Macaca fascicularis: one gene and its partners. The main gene of each other region encodes a partner of the protein of the gene in region 3 in a complex. Links are inferred from orthologs where the notes say so. Each region holds a gene or a part of one and is shown on either strand. Other genes may lie near its edges.

Evidence for each region. The genes of interacting proteins can lie anywhere in the genome.
Region 1: TAF1B (region 3) and TAF1D share a complex: the UniProt entries of both Homo sapiens proteins name them as parts of the transcription factor SL1/TIF-IB complex. The link is inferred for Macaca fascicularis from reciprocal best matches to the Homo sapiens genes TAF1B and TAF1D.
Region 2: TAF1B (region 3) and POLR1C share a complex: the UniProt entries of both Homo sapiens proteins name them as parts of the pol I pre-initiation complex. The link is inferred for Macaca fascicularis from reciprocal best matches to the Homo sapiens genes TAF1B and POLR1C.
Region 4: TAF1B (region 3) and POLR2E share a complex: the UniProt entries of both Homo sapiens proteins name them as parts of the pol I pre-initiation complex. The link is inferred for Macaca fascicularis from reciprocal best matches to the Homo sapiens genes TAF1B and POLR2E.

The regions. Positions count from the first base shown.
Region 1 is NC_088388.1:92,775,366-92,779,603, forward strand, and holds the start of TAF1D (TATA box-binding protein-associated factor RNA polymerase I subunit D), read right to left. Parts: upstream 2,801-4,238; 5' UTR 2,590-2,800; intron 1,862-2,589; exon of another isoform or gene 1,786-1,861; intron 635-1,785; 5' UTR 609-634; coding exon 541-608; intron 1-540. UniProt on the Homo sapiens protein: Component of the transcription factor SL1/TIF-IB complex, which is involved in the assembly of the PIC (preinitiation complex) during RNA polymerase I-dependent transcription.
Region 2 is NC_088378.1:128,003,812-128,008,019, forward strand, and holds the start of POLR1C (DNA-directed RNA polymerases I and III subunit RPAC1), read right to left. Parts: upstream 2,801-4,208; 5' UTR 2,780-2,800; coding exon 2,711-2,779; intron 2,584-2,710; coding exon 2,512-2,583; intron 553-2,511; coding exon 445-552; intron 187-444; coding exon 54-186; intron 1-53. Other genes in the region: protein YIPF3, read left to right, coding at 3,085-3,165, 3,801-4,007, 4,195-4,208. UniProt on the Homo sapiens protein: DNA-dependent RNA polymerase catalyzes the transcription of DNA into RNA using the four ribonucleoside triphosphates as substrates.
Region 3 is NC_088387.1:112,150,899-112,155,163, forward strand, and holds the end of TAF1B (TATA box-binding protein-associated factor RNA polymerase I subunit B), read right to left. Parts: intron 952-4,265; coding exon 750-951; 3' UTR 501-749; downstream 1-500. UniProt on the Homo sapiens protein: Component of RNA polymerase I core factor complex that acts as a GTF2B/TFIIB-like factor and plays a key role in multiple steps during transcription initiation such as pre-initiation complex (PIC) assembly and postpolymerase recruitment events in polymerase I (Pol I) transcription.
Region 4 is NC_088393.1:1,665,944-1,670,071, forward strand, and holds the start of POLR2E (DNA-directed RNA polymerases I, II, and III subunit RPABC1), read right to left. Parts: upstream 2,801-4,128; 5' UTR 2,756-2,800; coding exon 2,699-2,755; intron 1,511-2,698; coding exon 1,336-1,510; intron 1-1,335. UniProt on the Homo sapiens protein: DNA-dependent RNA polymerase catalyzes the transcription of DNA into RNA using the four ribonucleoside triphosphates as substrates.

The sequences.
Region 1 (4,238 bases), on a different chromosome or scaffold from region 3:
TGGTGCAATCACAGCTCACTGCAACCTCAAACTCCTGGAACTCCAGGGATGCTCCTGACTCAGCCTCCCAAGTAGCTAGCTAGGACTAATGGCATGCACCACTGTGCTCAGCTTAGCAAAAAACTATGTATCTTTTAAGATAACGTATGGCTCCACAAAGGCTGTATGGTGTATGAGCTCCACAAAGGCTGTATGGTTTGGTTCACTGCTAAGAGTGAGTAAAACAAACACAGCCTACCAGACAGAAACAGGAAGAGGTAGTCTGGAAGAGATGCTAATATGACCCAAAGAATACATTTTTTTCTTGAAGAATGTGTCCCATTATAATATATTCACATTTTGAATTTAAAGTATTTGCAATGCTATTATCAATCTACATTAACTAGATAAACCTGGAAGGTCAGTGAAATCTGGTTTTCCTTCTTTCCCAATTCCTGAAAATCATCTTTACTGTCACTCATTATATAAAATAATTTCTCATAATTCAGATACAATAAATATGATTGAATCCACTCAGTTCTCCAGTAAAAACCCACTTACCTTTGATTTGCAAGTTCCATAGCATCAGATGTCACATGGTCGGTAGAATCTATTCCTGATTTATCCATCAATTGCTTTGTTTTATAACAGTTTTCTGAAATTATGAAATTTAGTAAATGTGACAAAGCTTCCCTAAATATTGACACAGTATCTACTATAATATTCAACATGGTCAGACTATGCCACTGATTTTAGGCAAAATCATTTGCCGGGGTTAACCTTCTTATCCATTTCAGATCAATTTCTTTAAAAAGAAATCCAGAAATTCTATTCACAGGTTCTTTCAGTTTTTACCCTCTAAATGTATTCAATGGAACAAGATTCCAAAAAAGTACTGTCACTTCCAAAAAAAGCATCTTTCAATATAAGTAGAAAATACAGTTTTATCATTAGCCACTTACTAACGTGCAATTACCAATACAGTATTAATGTAAAATTAAAAACCATTTTCCAAGATCAAAGAGGGAATTCCTAAGGCAAAATGTGCCCTATATAAACCAGGAAAAGGATCTCCAATCAACAGACCCTGATCACCTCTCCATTATAATTCCTAGATTCTTCATTCCTAGATTCATTTAAGTAACTGAACTTTGTCATACTGTATCTTTGCCATTATTGGTGGAAACTGACAAGTTCTGAATTCTCAACCTTTTTCAATAAACTATCATAATTCTTTGTGTTTTCATCCCCATGGTAGAGTATACAACATGCCAAAAAAAGAAGAAAAAAAAGATTCCTTCTTGTGAGCTAAAAGAAAAAACAGGTTGGTCTGGGTGGCTCAGGCCTGTGTAACACAGCACTTTGGGAGGTCGAGGCGGGCGGATCGCTCGAGCCCAGGAGCTCAAGACCAACCTGGGCAACGTGGTGAAACTCCGTCTCTACAAAAAATACAAAAATTAGCCGGGCTAGTGGCGCGCGCCTGTGGTCAGGAGGCTGAGGTAGGTGAATACCTGAGCCTGGGAGGTGGAAGTTGTATGTAGTGAGCCTCAGCACACAAGGAGACCCTTGTCTCTACAAAAAATTCTTAAGATACTGGCTAGGTGTGGTGACCCGTGCCTGTGCTCCCAGCCACTCGGGAGGATCGCTTGAGCAGAGGTGGAGGTTGCAGTGAGCCGAGATTGCACCACTGCACCCCAGCCTGGACGACAGAACAAGACCCTGTCTCAGAAAAAAAAAAAAAAAAAAAAAAAAATAGGCATGGCAACAAAAATGAAGGATAACTACTTATTTCACTATTGTACTTGCCTTAGTCAATCTCTTGTCTCATTCTGTAGCTTCTTGGGACCTAACATGAGTCATTGCATATAAATCCTAGGATGAACTAGCAAAACATTTAAAATATAAAACGATAAGGTTACCAAGAGCTCAGATTTGTTAAATGCCCAATGGACCCCTGTGGTAATTTTCTGGTAGTACGTCTTATTAGCTTAAGTACAGGATTCTACGAAGTCATTATATATCGAATGCTCAAAAACGGAATTCAACAAAAATTTGGCCCCATGCATTAATGGTATACCTGTGGTTAATTTTTTTTTAAAGTAGGGATTATCAAAATAAAGCTAGCTCAAGAATCACTTTTTTCTTAGTGTTTAGAAGACACTCCTACTTGGGTGTCGATGCATCCGCTGGAATTCTGCAATTCTTAGAGGCCACGTGGGCAGAAAGCGGCGCTTTACCCGGAGCTAATTCTGTGACCACCAGCGCGTCTCTCCGGGCAGCGCCTAACCTCCAGGAAACCGGCGCTATCAATGGGTACCTCACATATGAAGGTTAAATCATTTAAATTACGTTAAGAAGGTTAAACTTGTCTGCAACACGTTTTAACACCTCCATCTCAAGATATAATGAAGCCCGCCCACACTACAACCACGTTTGTGGGCCTCATACCAGCCGCGTGGCGCGGAGTGGCCTGCAACCGTGATCCCTTCACCCTCTCGGCCCGACTTCCGAGGCTCAATCCTCCGGAACAACGCAGGGGCCGAAACCCCAGATATGCAATGCCTCCCCTGCCCAACAAGCCCAGACGGCCTTGCCCTCTTGGCAACCTACCTAAAACCGCCTCACACCGGCCCCAACCGCGCACTTGCTGCCCGTAACCCAGGCCTCGGGCCAAAACCTGCGACTGGCCTGGTGCGTGAGTCCTGGAGATTTGCACACACCACCCTCCCGATTTCAGTCCTCCAACTCCGGAAAACTAGCCGATGTCCTCCAACCGCGCGGAAGAAAAGGGTGGGATATCCCCGCGGCCCAAGTAATAGTCAGGCAGAAATCTCGCGATACAATTTAGCTCCCGGGAAGAAGGCGAGCGGTGGGAGGAGTCGCGACGCGGGGGCGCCATTTTTCTCGCCGCGCAGGGAGGAGCGACTAACGTGGGCGGAGCTGTAGCTCGCTTACTCTGAGGAGGCGGGGTTGGCGTAGGCGGAGATCGGGATTCTGGTGTTTTGCTTGCGTGACCGATTCGGTAAGTGGAATAGCCAAGAACATTTCGGCAAATAACAAAAAGAAAATGTGCGGCCAATTGTGAGTGGATGAGAACTGCGAGGAAACAGCCTCTCAGCCCGGGTCGTTTCCGGTGGTCTCGCGTTTGCTGAGCTGTCTCCCGGCTTTCTAAACCTGGTCCCGAGTATGTGGTGAGGGTGACGGGTGGGATGTGTGAATGAGTGTTTTGTCATCCTGTGTCTACTTTTGCCTTCAAAACCCTTGTGTGTGAAAATATTCGGGAAGGTTACTCGAAGTTTGTAACCTTTGTGCTGGACGCCAGTGTTATGCCGTAGCACGCCCAGGTCTCCTCCCCACCTTTGCACCTGTTTCGGGAGCTCACCCTTTCTGCCTCCCAGGAATTGGCTAACACGTCACAAGTGAGACCTGTGGAGGATTTCTTTTTCCTCAGTTTCCTCCTACATCCCCCCCGCCCCCCACCATTAGTTCCTTGACCAGTTCCTGAGTTAAGATTAAGCTGTGTAAACTAGTTTAGTTTTGGTGGGGTTTTTTTCTTCGAAAGTTTTTTGTTTTTTTTTTTTGTTTTTCGGTTTTTTGGGGTTTTTTTGAGACCGAGTTTCGCTCTTGTTGCCCAGGCTGGAGTGCAATGGCGCGATCTTGGCTCACCGCAAGCTCCGCTTCCCGGGTTCAAGCGATTCTCCTGCCTCAGCCTCCCAAGTAGCTGAGATTACAGGCATGTGCCACCATGCCCTGCTAATTTTTTTGTACTTTTAGGAGACACGGGGTTTCTCCATGTTGGTCAGGCTGGTCTCGAACTCCTGACCTCAGGTGATCCACCCGCCTCGGCCTCCCAAAGTGCTGGGATTACAGGCGTGAGCCACCGGCCTCCCAAAGAAATTTTTAAAAGGATTGAACTGGTTTGATTTTTCTGGTTTCAAACTTCTGTTTTCATATGATACACCGCAAAAACCAGTAAAGCTGTCTAATCTTATTTTATAGTTTACATCATTTTAGGATAGCGCGTGCCTTAAAAGTAATCTGGTCTCTTTACCCTCCTTTGCTCCATAGATTGGACAATTTCGGGGATAAAAAGTCTGACACTGCATTTGATCCACAGGGGCTGGGCAGTGACTAAGCTCCAGGACTGGTATGGCATGTCCCTCACTGCCATATTCAGCAGCAAGCCTAGCTCTGTAATTTGTGAGGCTCAATGCAAAATGTAAATGCAGCGTCCCTTGTCCAAAAAGAAGGGGAAAAGT
Region 2 (4,208 bases), on a different chromosome or scaffold from region 3:
AACCAGGATTTGAACCCAGACAGTCCACTTCTCCCAAAATTTCATTTTCTTACCTTGATTCCGATACTCAAAAAGACGGGGATCAGCATGAATGGGAATGAGCCCCAGACGGTGAGCAAGGATCTCATCCTGAACAATGGATGTATTATTGTACACCAGGACCTTCTCCACAGCCATAGTTGGCACCTGCCCAAGGAAAAATAACCACTTATCTGCAAAAACCCAACAGACCCCCTACCTATCCCCACAACCCCACCCTCCAGAGGTAAGGAGCTATCTCTCTTCCTAGAATGTTTAATGAGAAATTTACAAAGAATGAGAAGGTAAAATGCTCAGCAAAATTCCAGGAAAAATGAGGGAAGGACAGCTTGAGACAATTCTCCAAGTGAGGTGTCAGTGCAGTTCCCAAAGCAACTCCAGCCTTGTCACCATGCCTGCCAATACCTCAGCTAACAGAATTCGTCGAAAAGCATTGGCAATGGCTGCGTCAATTCCCACCATGTCGAACTCCAGTGAGTTTTCATCCATGTGTACTACATCCACACGGAAATTCTAGAGGGACAGGAAAAACATTTAAGTGAAACCTGCTCTCTCTGTAATATCTCTTCATACCTCCCCCTTAGATAATTCCCTCAAGTATTATCCTCTCATCCAAAAACCTCCCTTTGCCCAGATGTCCCTTATTAAATATTCTTTCTCGCCCAGTGCTTTAGTTTCATAAAAAGTCTCCATTTTTGTCGTCCATTCATTAAAACCCTATGCAATATGGCTTCCAACCAAACCATCCACAGAAGCTATTCCACTAAAGAACAGAAACTACCATAGTGCTTAGTCCTGTTGACACTACCCAGTCCTCTTACTAGACTTCTGTTATGCTTGACATTGATTAAAAAACCTCCTCTGGGCCCAGCACGGTGACTCACACCTGTAATCCCAGCACTATGGGAGGCCGAGGGGCGGATCACAAGGTCAGGAGTTTGAGACCAGCCTGGCCAGCATGGTGAAACCCCGTCTCTACTAAAAATTCAAAAAATTAGCTGGGCATGGTGGCGCGTAGCTGTAGTCCCAGCTACTCGGGAGGCTGAGGCAGGAGAACTGCCTGAACCCAGGAGGCGGAGGTTGCAGTGAGCCAAGATTGCACCACTGCACTCCAGCCTGGGAGATAAGAGTGTCTCATGAAAAGGAAAAAAAAAAAAAAAATCCCCTTTTTTGAACGATTCCCCTGGTTTCTGAGCTCCACTCTTCTTCCATCTCTGATGATCAACTTCCACCCATCTCTAAATTTGCCAGGTTCTTGTCTCTCTCCCAGGTCACCTTAACTGTACTAACAGTTTTAGCAACTATCTGTTCTGACAACTCCCAAAATTTTATCTCACTTCTGATCTCATTTCAAGCATGCAGTCTTCTAGCCTGCTAGATTTCCCCACATACAGAAAACAATGCATCATCATCCCTGTTCCCCAGACCCATTTCTCCTCTTAGTAAATGATACCACAAAGCAAAAAGCAGTTCCCAAGCCAGAAAAAGTCATTTTATGCTACCCCCACAGCCTTTATCCAAGCAATCATAAATTTACCTTATATTCTTCCTTTGCTCTATTTCTACCATCAGTCTTAGTTCATATCTTCAACCTCAGCTTCCCTTACGACAGATCTGCCTGCTCCATATGATCCTCCTCAAACTCATTCCCTCCCAGCCATCAAGGTTGCAAATCTGATCATGTCTGCTTAAGAAACTATTCAAGCTCCCTATCATCCACAGTGTGACACACTTCAATCTTGCCGACCACTCATGCCAGAACTACTTGGACATTCCCGGAGCACATGTCACAGAAGTCATAATTTTTTTTCAAGCATTAGCCTTTTTCATTGTTCATACTTTATTCCTTGTATCAACAGGTTAAAAAAGTAAAATTTTCCCAGGCACTGATTTACACATCATGTTTATAAGCTGCATAAAGGGTAACATTTAGGTCAGTTGCATAAAGGGTAACATTCAGTAATCTATTTAAATGCAATTTTAACCCTTATTTTAAGCTAAGTGAAACAATAATACAAAAGACTAAATACACACAAAACCTGCATATCCTGAACTTCACTGACGTGAAACTCAAATCTTTCATAATTCAACTCCTGTTTTTTTTTTTACTTACCATTCAAGGTTCAATTCAGGTGTCCCCTCCTCTTGAAATGTTAAGTACCTCTCGGCCCCTCTTCCTGGTCTCAGCGGAATGCTCCCCACCCCAACCCTGCCGTCTTCATCGCTATCAACCACCTTCACCATATTACACTAGATGCACTTGTTTATACGCACCATTCCTCAACAAGACGGAATATCTCTGCAGAGATAGAAACCGTGTCTAATTTGGCCTGTAAACGGAGCGTCTAGCACATTGCTCAACAAACACAAACGGAGCGACCCCCAAAAGCAGCTGCTGAGACAGACACAGGCTGCTCAGGCCACAGGGTCTGGCCTTCATAACCCTCCCCAGACAACTTCGGCCCCACTTACCTTCTCGAAGCGGTCCTGGTCCCAGGCATCATCATAACCGGAATAGTTTCCGGGAAAGTCAGTGGTATGGACCTAGAGCAAAGGGACGAGTTTGTCCACAAAGGGACAATGAGCCCACGGCTATCCCCACGCCAATCCCAAGACCCACCCCTGTTCCGCTCTCATTCCTCCCGCCCGAGCTCAAGGCCACAAGGCTTACATTGCGAACCCCAAACTCCCCTAGAACCACGCGGCCCCGCATCTCCTCCACCGCCTGAGAAGCCGCCATCTTCAATCTCTCCACGAGACTGGAGGCTCTATCTGGCGCGTGCGTCCTAGTAGACTGGCTCCGTCTCCGTGGCAACGCGCCACCGCCTGGAATCTTAAATATCGCGAGACTTTTCCCCGCTTCCGTCCACGTCCCCAGCCTCCGGAAGTTGGTTTTGTCCAAACATCCGGGCTTCTCTTTTTTGTGTTCCGGCCGATCCCACCTCTCCTCGACCCGGGACGTCTCCCTCACTAAGGCCCACGTCTCGCCCACTCCTCCGCGCGCGGGGCTAGCGCGGGCTTCAGCGACGGGAGCCTTCAAGGGACATGGCAACTACAGCGGCGCCGGCGGGCGGCGCCCGAAATGGAGCTGGCCCGGAATGGGGAGGGTTCGAAGAAAACATCCAGGTAATGGCCCCAAGGCACTAGCTGCCAGCAACCCGAGGGCCAGCGATGTCCAGAAGTGTCTTGAGGATTCTCCCTGTGGGCCTGGAAGTCCGCTCCATTTGCAAAACTCTCTTCTTTGGGTCTTCGTGCACACTAAAGTCAGTAGGATTAACATTGACCTGAAAGGGCCAGACTAGTACTCCAGCCTGAGGGTCTCGGGTCTCTGGGCCCGCTCGAGGCATTAGGAAGAAGGTATTCTTGGAACAAGTTAGGAAGTTGGTCGGGGTCAGGCATGGAGTGGGGTTGGGTGGGGATTCACTGGCATTCGCTGAAAACATATTATGTGTATAGTTTTGTTTGGGGCTTAGGAAAGAAGGAAATGGGCACTTTTTCAGCCTTTTAGTCTTTGGTAGGTAAGGTAGGAAAAAGACAGGAATGGAAGACTAGTAGTATGTTTCCCAGGCTAGAAAATTCAGCCAAAGCTAGAAACCAAGAGTTCTGAGAGCATATGAGGGGGAATGGAGTGGCATGATCTGTAGTGATTCCGAGCCGTATCCTCAGCAGTGGAAGAACAAAGCCCTAAACCCTGGGATGAGCAGAGGACTTAATGGATGGAACAGAAAAGTCCTGCACTCTAGGAGCCATTGTCTTCACAGGGCGGAGGCTCAGCTGTGATTGACATGGAGAACATGGATGATACCTCAGGCTCTAGCTTCGAGGATATGGGTGAGCTGCATCAGCGCCTGCGCGAGGAAGAAGTAGACGCTGATGCAGCTGATGCAGCTGCTGCTGAAGAAGAGGATGGAGAGTTCCTGGGCATGAAAGGCTTTAAGGGACAGCTGAGCCGGCAGGTGGCAGATCAGGTAAGCATGATTGAATCTTCTGCAGGTGGAAAGGTATACCTAGGTATGTCCCATGTTCTGGAGTTGGTGTTGGTGATGTTTGCCCCAGGTTGTCCAGTTAGAACCATGTAGAAATCAAGCGGAAAATAGGCAACAGGGTCTAGAACCAACAGTCCCACAATACCTATGCCCATCTTCCTTACTTCAGATGTGGCAGGCCGG
Region 3 (4,265 bases):
AACATTCATATTTGTTTTCTACTAATACTTTTATATTTTTAAATATGAAAGATTACGTTTAGATCTTTGATCCATCTGGGATTTACTCTGGGGTGTAAAGAATAAGGAAGAGATCTACTTTAAAAAATAAATTTAGCTTTAAAATACAACGAGTATACATTTCTGGATACAACTATACAATTTACTGGCTGGGCACGGTGGCTCACACCTATAATCCCAGCACTTTGGGAGGCCGAGGTGGATGGATCACGAGGTCAGGAAATCAAGACCATCCTGGCTAACATGGTGAAACCCCATCTCTACTAAAAACAAACAAAAAAATTAGCGTGGTGGCGGGCACCTGTAGTCCCAGCTACTTGGGAGGCTAAGGCAGGAGAATGGCATGAACCTGGGAAGTGGAGCTTGCAGTAAGCCAAGATCGTGTCACTGTACTCCAGCCTGGGCAACAGAGCAAGACTCTGTCTCAAAAAAATAAATAAATAAATAAATAAATAAATAAATACAATCATATAATTTACTGTTGTTTTAACTTTCTCTTAGAATATTCATACTCTGAAAAATAAAATCAAACAAAGCTCACCTGCTTTATAATATACAATTTTCTAAGCACACTTGACATATATGTAAATATGTGTCAGAGCATATACATATATATGCAGTATTTTCCACAATTCTCTGGAATGTTATATTAAAATCTGATGTTATATCAATACTAAAATATTTTTCCAGAAAGTTTCTATTTCATTTTCTCAATGTCGTCTCGCTTTCTTGGATCTTGATTTCTTTTTTGTTACACTATATTTTTTCTCGAAAAGTTTCTTCTCAACTAAGCTCACTTCTTCATGGAGAAGGGAAGTCTTTATTCTGAGCAGGAAGGAGAAGAGATTTAGTATAAACTGATAACTCAGAGAATAATTTGATTCTTCATAGGTTGTCACGTGTGTACAATAGCTAGAAGGGAAAAAGAAAAAAGAATTTCTCTTTAGATGGTAACCAAGAAAGGCACACACTAACCCCTGAACATCTCCCCAAATAACAAATATATATGGTTAGGCTTAAAACAGGACCCTGAGCTGGAAGGAAACCTAGAAGAATTTGGTAACTCCTTAACTGCACAAAGGAAAACATGTTCACACTGTCCACGGCCACCACACAAGGGCCACAGGTGGTGCTAGGAGCTGGTCCTTCAACTCTCTGCTCGAAGTTTCTTCACTCCAGATGGGGCACCACTCCACCTTCTTACCATGGTCAAGGCAAACAAAAGCATACAAGGAGATATTCTGAACATATTTCTTTTTTTTTTTTTTTTTTTTTTGAGACAGAGTTTCGCTCTGTTGCCCAGGCTGGAGTGCAGTGGCCGGATCTCAGCTCACTGCAAGCTCCGCCTCCCGGGTTTACGCCATTCTCCTGCCTCAGCCTCCCGAGTAGCTGGGACTACAGGCGCCCGCCACCTCGCCCGGCTAGTTTTTTGTATTTTTTAGTAGAGATGGGGTTTCACTGTGTTAGCCAGGATGGTCTTGATCTCCTGACCTCGTGATCCGCCCGTCTCGGCCTCCCAAAGTGCTGGGATTACAGGCTTGAGCCACCGCGCCCGGCTCTGAACATATTTCTAAAACAAACTAAAGAAAACAAATAATCCCCGACTTCCACCCAACATAAGACACTAGACTTTTTTTGTTGTTGTTGTTGTTTTTTTTTTTTTTTTTTTGAGACAGAGTCTCGCTCTGTCGCCTGGGCTGGAGTGCAGTGGCCGGATCTCAGCTCACTGCAAGCTCCGCCTCCCGGGTTCACGCCATTCTCCTGCCTCAGCCTCTCGAGTAGCTGGGACTACAGGCGCCCACCACCGCGCCTGGCTAATTTTTTGTATTTTTTAGTACAGACGGGGTTTCACCGTGTTAACCAGGATGGTCTCGATCTCCTGACCTCGTGATCCGCCCGTCTCGGCCTCCCAAAGTGCTGGGATTACAGGCTTGAGCCACCGCGCCCGGCCGACACTAGACTTTATAATGTAGCTTGCAATACTATATGTACTGTAGGAGAAGAGTTTACCAAGCAATTTCCCTTATTTTAAAATAGTAAAGCCTTCCATTCCAAAACGGCCAAATAGGAACAGCTCTGGTCTGCAGCTCCCAGCATGATCGATGCAGAGACAGGTGATATTTGCATTTCCAACTGAGGTACCTAGTTCATCTCATTGGGACTGGTTGGACAGTGGGTGCAGCCCACGGAGGGCAAGCCGAATCAGGGTGGGGCATTGTCTCACCTGGGAAGGGATTTCCCTTTCCTAGCCAGGGGAAGCTGTGACAGACTACACCTGTAAAATAAGGACACTCCCGCCCAAATACTGCACTTTTCCAACGGTCTTACCAAACAGCACACCAGGAGATTATATCCTGAGCCTGGCTCAGCTGGTCCCTCGCCCATAGAGCCTTGCTCACTGCTCGTGCAGCAGTCTGAGATCAACCTGTGAGGCAGCAGCCTAGCAGCTGGAGGGGCGTCTGCTATTGCTGAGGCTTAAGTAGGTAAACAAAGCAGCTAGGAAGCTTGAACTGGGCAGAGCCCACCGCAGCTCAGCAAGACTTGCTGCCTCTGTAAACTCCACCTCTGGGGGCAGTGCGTAGCTGAACAAAAGACAGCAGAAACTTCTGCAGACTTAAACGTCCCTGTCCGACAGCTCTGAAGAAAGCAGTGGTTCTCCCAGCATAGCATTTGAGCTCAGGACAGACAGACTGCCTCCTCAAGTGGGTCCCTGACCCCCATGTAGCCTAACTGTGAGACGCCTCCCAGCAGGGGCCAACTGACACCTCATACAGGTGGGTGCCCCTCTGGGACAAAGCTTCCAGAGGAAGGATCAGGCAGCAGTATTTGCTGTTCTGCAGCCTCCACTGGTGATACCCAGGCAAACAGGGTCTGGAGAGGACCTCCAGCAAAATCCAACAGACCTGCAGCTGAGGGACCAGACTGTTAGAAGGAAAACTAACAGAAAGGAATAGCATCAACATCAACAAAAAGGACATCCACACCAAAACCCCATCTGTAGGTCACCAACATCAAAGACCAAAGGTAGATAAAACCACAAAGATGGGGAGAAACCAGAGCAGAAAAGCTGAAAATTCTAAAAACCAGAGCACCTCCTCTCCTTCAAAGGATTGCAGCTCCTCGCCAGCAACGGAACAAAGCTGGATGGAGAATGACTTTGACGAGCTGACAGAAGTAGGCTTCAGAAGGTCGGTAATAACAAACTTCTCTGAGCTAAAGGAGGATGTTCGAACCCATCGCAAGGAAGCTAAAAACCTTGAAAAAAGATTAGACAAATGGTTAACTAGAATAAACAGTGCAGAGAAGACCTTAAAAGACCTGATGGAGCTGAAAACCACGGCACGAGAACTATGTGATGCATGCACAAGCTTCAGTAGCCGATTCGATCAAGTGGAAGAAAGAGTATCAGTGATTGAAGATCAAATTAATGAAATAAAGTGAGAAGAGAAGTTTAGAGAAAAAAAGAGTAAAAAGAAACAAACAAAGCCTCCAAGAAATATGGGACTATGTGAAAAGTCTACGTTTGATTAGTGTGCCTGAAAGTGACAGGGAGAATTCAGGAAATACAGAGAACACCACCCCTTGAGAAGAGCAACTCCAAGACACATAATTGTCAGATTCACCAAGGCTGAAATGAAGGAAAAAACGTTAAGGGCAGCCAGAGAGAAAGGTCAGGTTACCCAAAAAGGGAAGCCCATCAGACTAACAGCGAATCTCTCAGCAGAAACTCTACAAGCCAGAAAAGAGTGGGGGCCAATATTCAACATTCTTAAAGAAAAGAATTTTCAACCCAGAATTTCATATCCAGCCAAACTAAGCTTCACAAGTGAAGGAGAAATAAAATCCTTTACAGACAAGCAAATGCTGAAAGATTTTGTCACCACCAGGCCTGCCTTACAAGAACTCCTGAAGGAAGCACTAAACACGGAAAGGAACAACCGGTACCAGCCACTGCAAAAACATGCCAAAATGTAAAGACCATCGATGCTAGGGAGAAACTGCATCAACTAACAGGCAAAATAACCAGCTAACATCATAATGACAGGATCAAATTCACACATAACAATATTAACCTTAAATGTAAATGGACTAAGTGCCCCAATTAAAAGACACAGACTGGCAAATTGGATAGAGTCAAGACCCATCAGTGTGCTGTATTCGGGAGACCCATCTCATGTGCAGAGACACACATAGGCTCAAATAAACGGATGGAGGAAGATCTACCA
Region 4 (4,128 bases), on a different chromosome or scaffold from region 3:
CACCTGTAGTCCCAGCTACTCTGGAGACTAAGGCAGGAGAATGGTGTGAACCCGGGAGAAGGAGCGTGCAGTGAGCCAAGATTGTGCCATTGCACTCTAACCTGGGCGACAGAGCGAGACTCCGTCTCAAAAAACCAAATAAACAAATAAATAAACACTACTAAAAAAAGTAAAAGTAGCCAGGTGAGATGGTGTATGCCTGTAAACCTAGCTTTTTGTGGGAGGCTGAGGTGGGAGGATTGCTTCAACCCAGGAGGTGGAGGTTGCAGTGAGCCGAGATTGCGCCACTGCACTCCAGCCTGGGCGACAGAGAGAGAGACTCAGCCTCAAAAAAAAAAGAACAAGAAGAAGACCGGGCGCGGTGGCTCACGCCTGTAATCCCAGCACTTTGGGAGGCCGAGGCAGGCAGATCACCTGAAGTCAGGAGTTTGAAAGCAGCCTGGCCAACATGGTGAAACCCCCTCTCTACCAAAAATACAAAAAAAAAAAAAAAAAAGCCAGGTATGGTGGTGGGTGCCTGCAGTCTCAGCTACTCAGGAAGCTGAGGCAGGAGAATTTTGAACTCAGGAGGTGGAGGCTGCAGCGAGCCGAAATGGCACCACTGCACTTCAGCCTGGGTGACAGAATGAGACTTTCAAAAAAAAAAAAAGCAGTAGCATCACCCGCTTGGCAGACACGCTCCGTCCACCCCACTGATTAATTCTGGGCACGCGGCTGTGTCCCTAGGCGCTGGTAGTCCCCCAACCACTGAGGGCGCTAGAGCCATCCTGGGGGGGCAGACAGGTGGGGAGACTTCCACGGTGCAGGTGCTGAAACCGAGGGTCCCAGGGGTCCCGGGAAAAGCGGCCTGAGCACAACCTCGAGGGATGAGTAGCGGACGCTGACAGGGCAGAGGCGGCATGGGGTGCAGAGGAATGGGCTGGGGCAGACAGGGGCCACAGCTCACAAGGAGGCTGCGCTGACCCACACGGGGCCTCCTGGGCCAGGCCAAGAAGTTGGAAGTGCACCCAACGGCCAGGATGAGGGAGCCAAGGAACACAGGTAGGGCAAAGGTCATGAGGGGCTGCGGGTGAGTAGGGAGGTCCATGGGACTCTCCTGGTTGGCAGGAAGAAAGGGGACCGATGAGAGGGAAACCAGAAAGAGGCTGCGCATGAGAGGGGTCAGAGGTCCACGGCATCGCCCACAGCAAGGAAGAGGAGGGGAAGTTTTCCTCCCAGATTGGGCAGAGGATCAAACGCTGGGCACGAGGCGGGAGGGAGGGGGTGCTAGCGGCCGGCTCCTCAGCAGGTGCTCGGGCGGCTCCACCAGAACTCCCCCGGGGACCCGCTGCTCACCTGGAAAGAACACAAACATCTGGTCGGTGGGGTCATCGTTGTGGGCCACCAGCACGGTGAGGTCAGTGCGCCGCGGCCGCCCCTCACTCGGCTTGTCTCCAAATTGGGCTTTGAACTCCTCCAGTGTCTGGTCAAGCTCGTCCTGGGTCACTAGGTAGCCACGGTCGTGGCACAGCTGCAGAGAGAAAGAACCAGCTGACCCCAGGGCAGAGACAGGAAGGCGGCCAGAGCTCGTGACCCAGAAGTCAGACCTGCGGCTGCTGCAGAGGACAGAGGTGAACAGCAAACGGAATGAACACTCGCTGTGTGCCCCATGACAGCCATCCTGGCCCCCACAGCCCCACACCACAGGATGGGACCAGCGTGATCCCGAGAGGCTCGCAGAGGTGTCCAGCCTTGACCAAGACCGTCCGTCTATCCAGCCTCACAGGAACCTGGCAGGGGGCAAAGCCCTCCAAACCACTTTGCAGAGCTACCCTAAAGACAGGGACAAAGACGGGGCGTGGGGGGTCACGTCCGCGACCCCAGAGCTCAGGGAGGCCGAGGCAGGAGGGCTGCTTGAGGCCAGGAGTTCAAGGATGCAGTGAGCTATGACTGCACCACTGCGCTGCAGCCTGGGCGACAGAGTGAGAGCTTGTCTCTTAAAAAAAAAAAAAAAAAAGACAGGGACCGAAACAGATGTGACTTCAGGCTGACAATGTTTGCGGCCCGGAGGAAGGAGAATCAGGCTGCGGGGGGCTGCGCTAAAGACAAGGGCATAGGGTGGGGAAGCAAGACAAAACAAAAGCTCCCAAACGGCCCCAACGGCTGAGGGAGGACCCTGAACCGCAGGCCCTCAGACATTTGCCCAGTTTCCAAACCGGAGTCGGCCCAGTGGCCTCCATCTGTCTCAGACCCCGAGGCACGGGTTCCGGGCTCCACGTCCCCATCGAAAGCCCCAGCTCGCCTGCTGCTTCCCAACCACCAACTCCGCCAGCCTCGGATGCTGAGACGCCCTGGGGTTCAGGGCGCAAGGACAAATGGCGACGCTGAATCACAGAGTGGGGCAGGGTCTGGGGGCGCCCCCCGTCCCCATTCGCACCTTCCTCCTCTCGCCGCCATGTGCGCCGCACCAGCCCAAGCCGCCCGCCCACCGCTAAGCCCCGCACCCAGACGTCTCGAAACCCCCTCCCTTCCCCGCTGCCGGCTCAGGTCGGGCCCAGCGCCTGGGATCCCCGGCGGCCTCGGGGTCTCCCGTGTCGGCCGGGCCCTCCGTCGCTGCTGCTGCTGCGACGGGAGTACGAGGAGACGCCGAGCTCGACCTCCCCTCGGGCCCCTGCACCTGCTGCTCGCGCCCCCGCCCCCAACACCACGCGCGGCTCACCTGCATGATGGTCTTGCGGATTTTCCAGAGCCGGTACGTCTCCTCCTCGTCGTCCATCGCCGCCACTCGCACCCGTTTTGCCTGCGAGAACCCGCGCGGACTGCGCCTGCGCCGACTCCCAATCAGGCCCCCTCCACGTAACCCCGCCCCGCGATGGGCTGTCGTCGGCGAACGCCTGAATGCAGCAACTTCCGGGATCGGCAGCGCCAAGGGCAGCCCGAGCCTTGCGAGAACGGCAGTTTGCTGCGCGAGACTCTCCCTCCGTAGTTCTCGTGTGTCTTTGGCTGCACGGCCTCTTGGGAGTTGTAGTTTCCGTTCAACTCCCACGTTGCGGGGACAGTTTAGAATCCCATAAGGCGGGGGCGAAGTGTGGGCGGGGAAACTGAGGCCTGGAATGGGTAAAGGGGCAGCTCGGCTCCTAGGGACGGTCGGGGAGCCTAGTGGGAACTCTATACATATTTGTGCATCAAACTGTACAGGGTTTCCTCTGTTGGCTCCAGGCCAGGTCAGGGTTAATGCCCTTGGGCCTCAGTTTCCCTACCTGTGCAATGGCAAAAAGTGTCCCTACTTTAGGCGGTTAACTGAGAGTCTTAGGTAGAGCTAGGCATATCTCTAGGTGCTTTTTAAGTCCCTTCACCTCTGTCCTCTCCCCTGAGTGCCAGCCTAGCCTGGGTATCTCCCCACCCCAGATCCGTCCTGTCTTTGCAAACCTCACCTCCCCAGATTCACGGAGGATCCCAGCCCAGCACTCGCTGTGTGAAGGCAATCAGTCACTGACTCAGTGACGCATTCATTAATTCAGCATTTACTCAGCAACCTACAGTGATGGTGAATAAAAACAGGCCAGGTATCCCTTGCATTCAGAGACAGGATTTAGTAAAATAACGTTACTGGGCGCAGTGGCTCATGCCTGTAATCCGAGCACTTTGGGAGGCTGAGGTGGGCAGATCACGAGATCAGGAGATCGAGACCATCCTGGCTAACACGGTGAAACCCCATCTCTACTAAAAATACAAAAAATTAGCTGGGCCAGGTGCCCGTAGTCTCAGCTACTCGGGAGGCTGACGCAGGAGAATCTCGTGAACCTGGAAGGGGGAGGTTGCAGTGAGCCGAGATCGCGCCACTGCATTCCAGCCTGGGCCACAGAGTGAGACTCTGTCTCAATAAATAAATAAATAAATAAATAAATAAATAAATAAATAGGACAGGCGCAGTGGCTCATGCCTGTAATCCCAGCACTTTGGGAGGCCAAGGTGGGTGGATCATGAGGTCAGGAGTTCGAGACCAGCCTGGCCAAGATGGTGAAACCCTGTCTCTACTAAAAACTACAAAAATTGGCCAGGCGCGGTGGCTCAAGCCTGTAATCCCAGCACTTTGGGAGGCCGAGATGGGCGGATCATGAGGTCAGGAGATCAAGACCATCCTGGCTA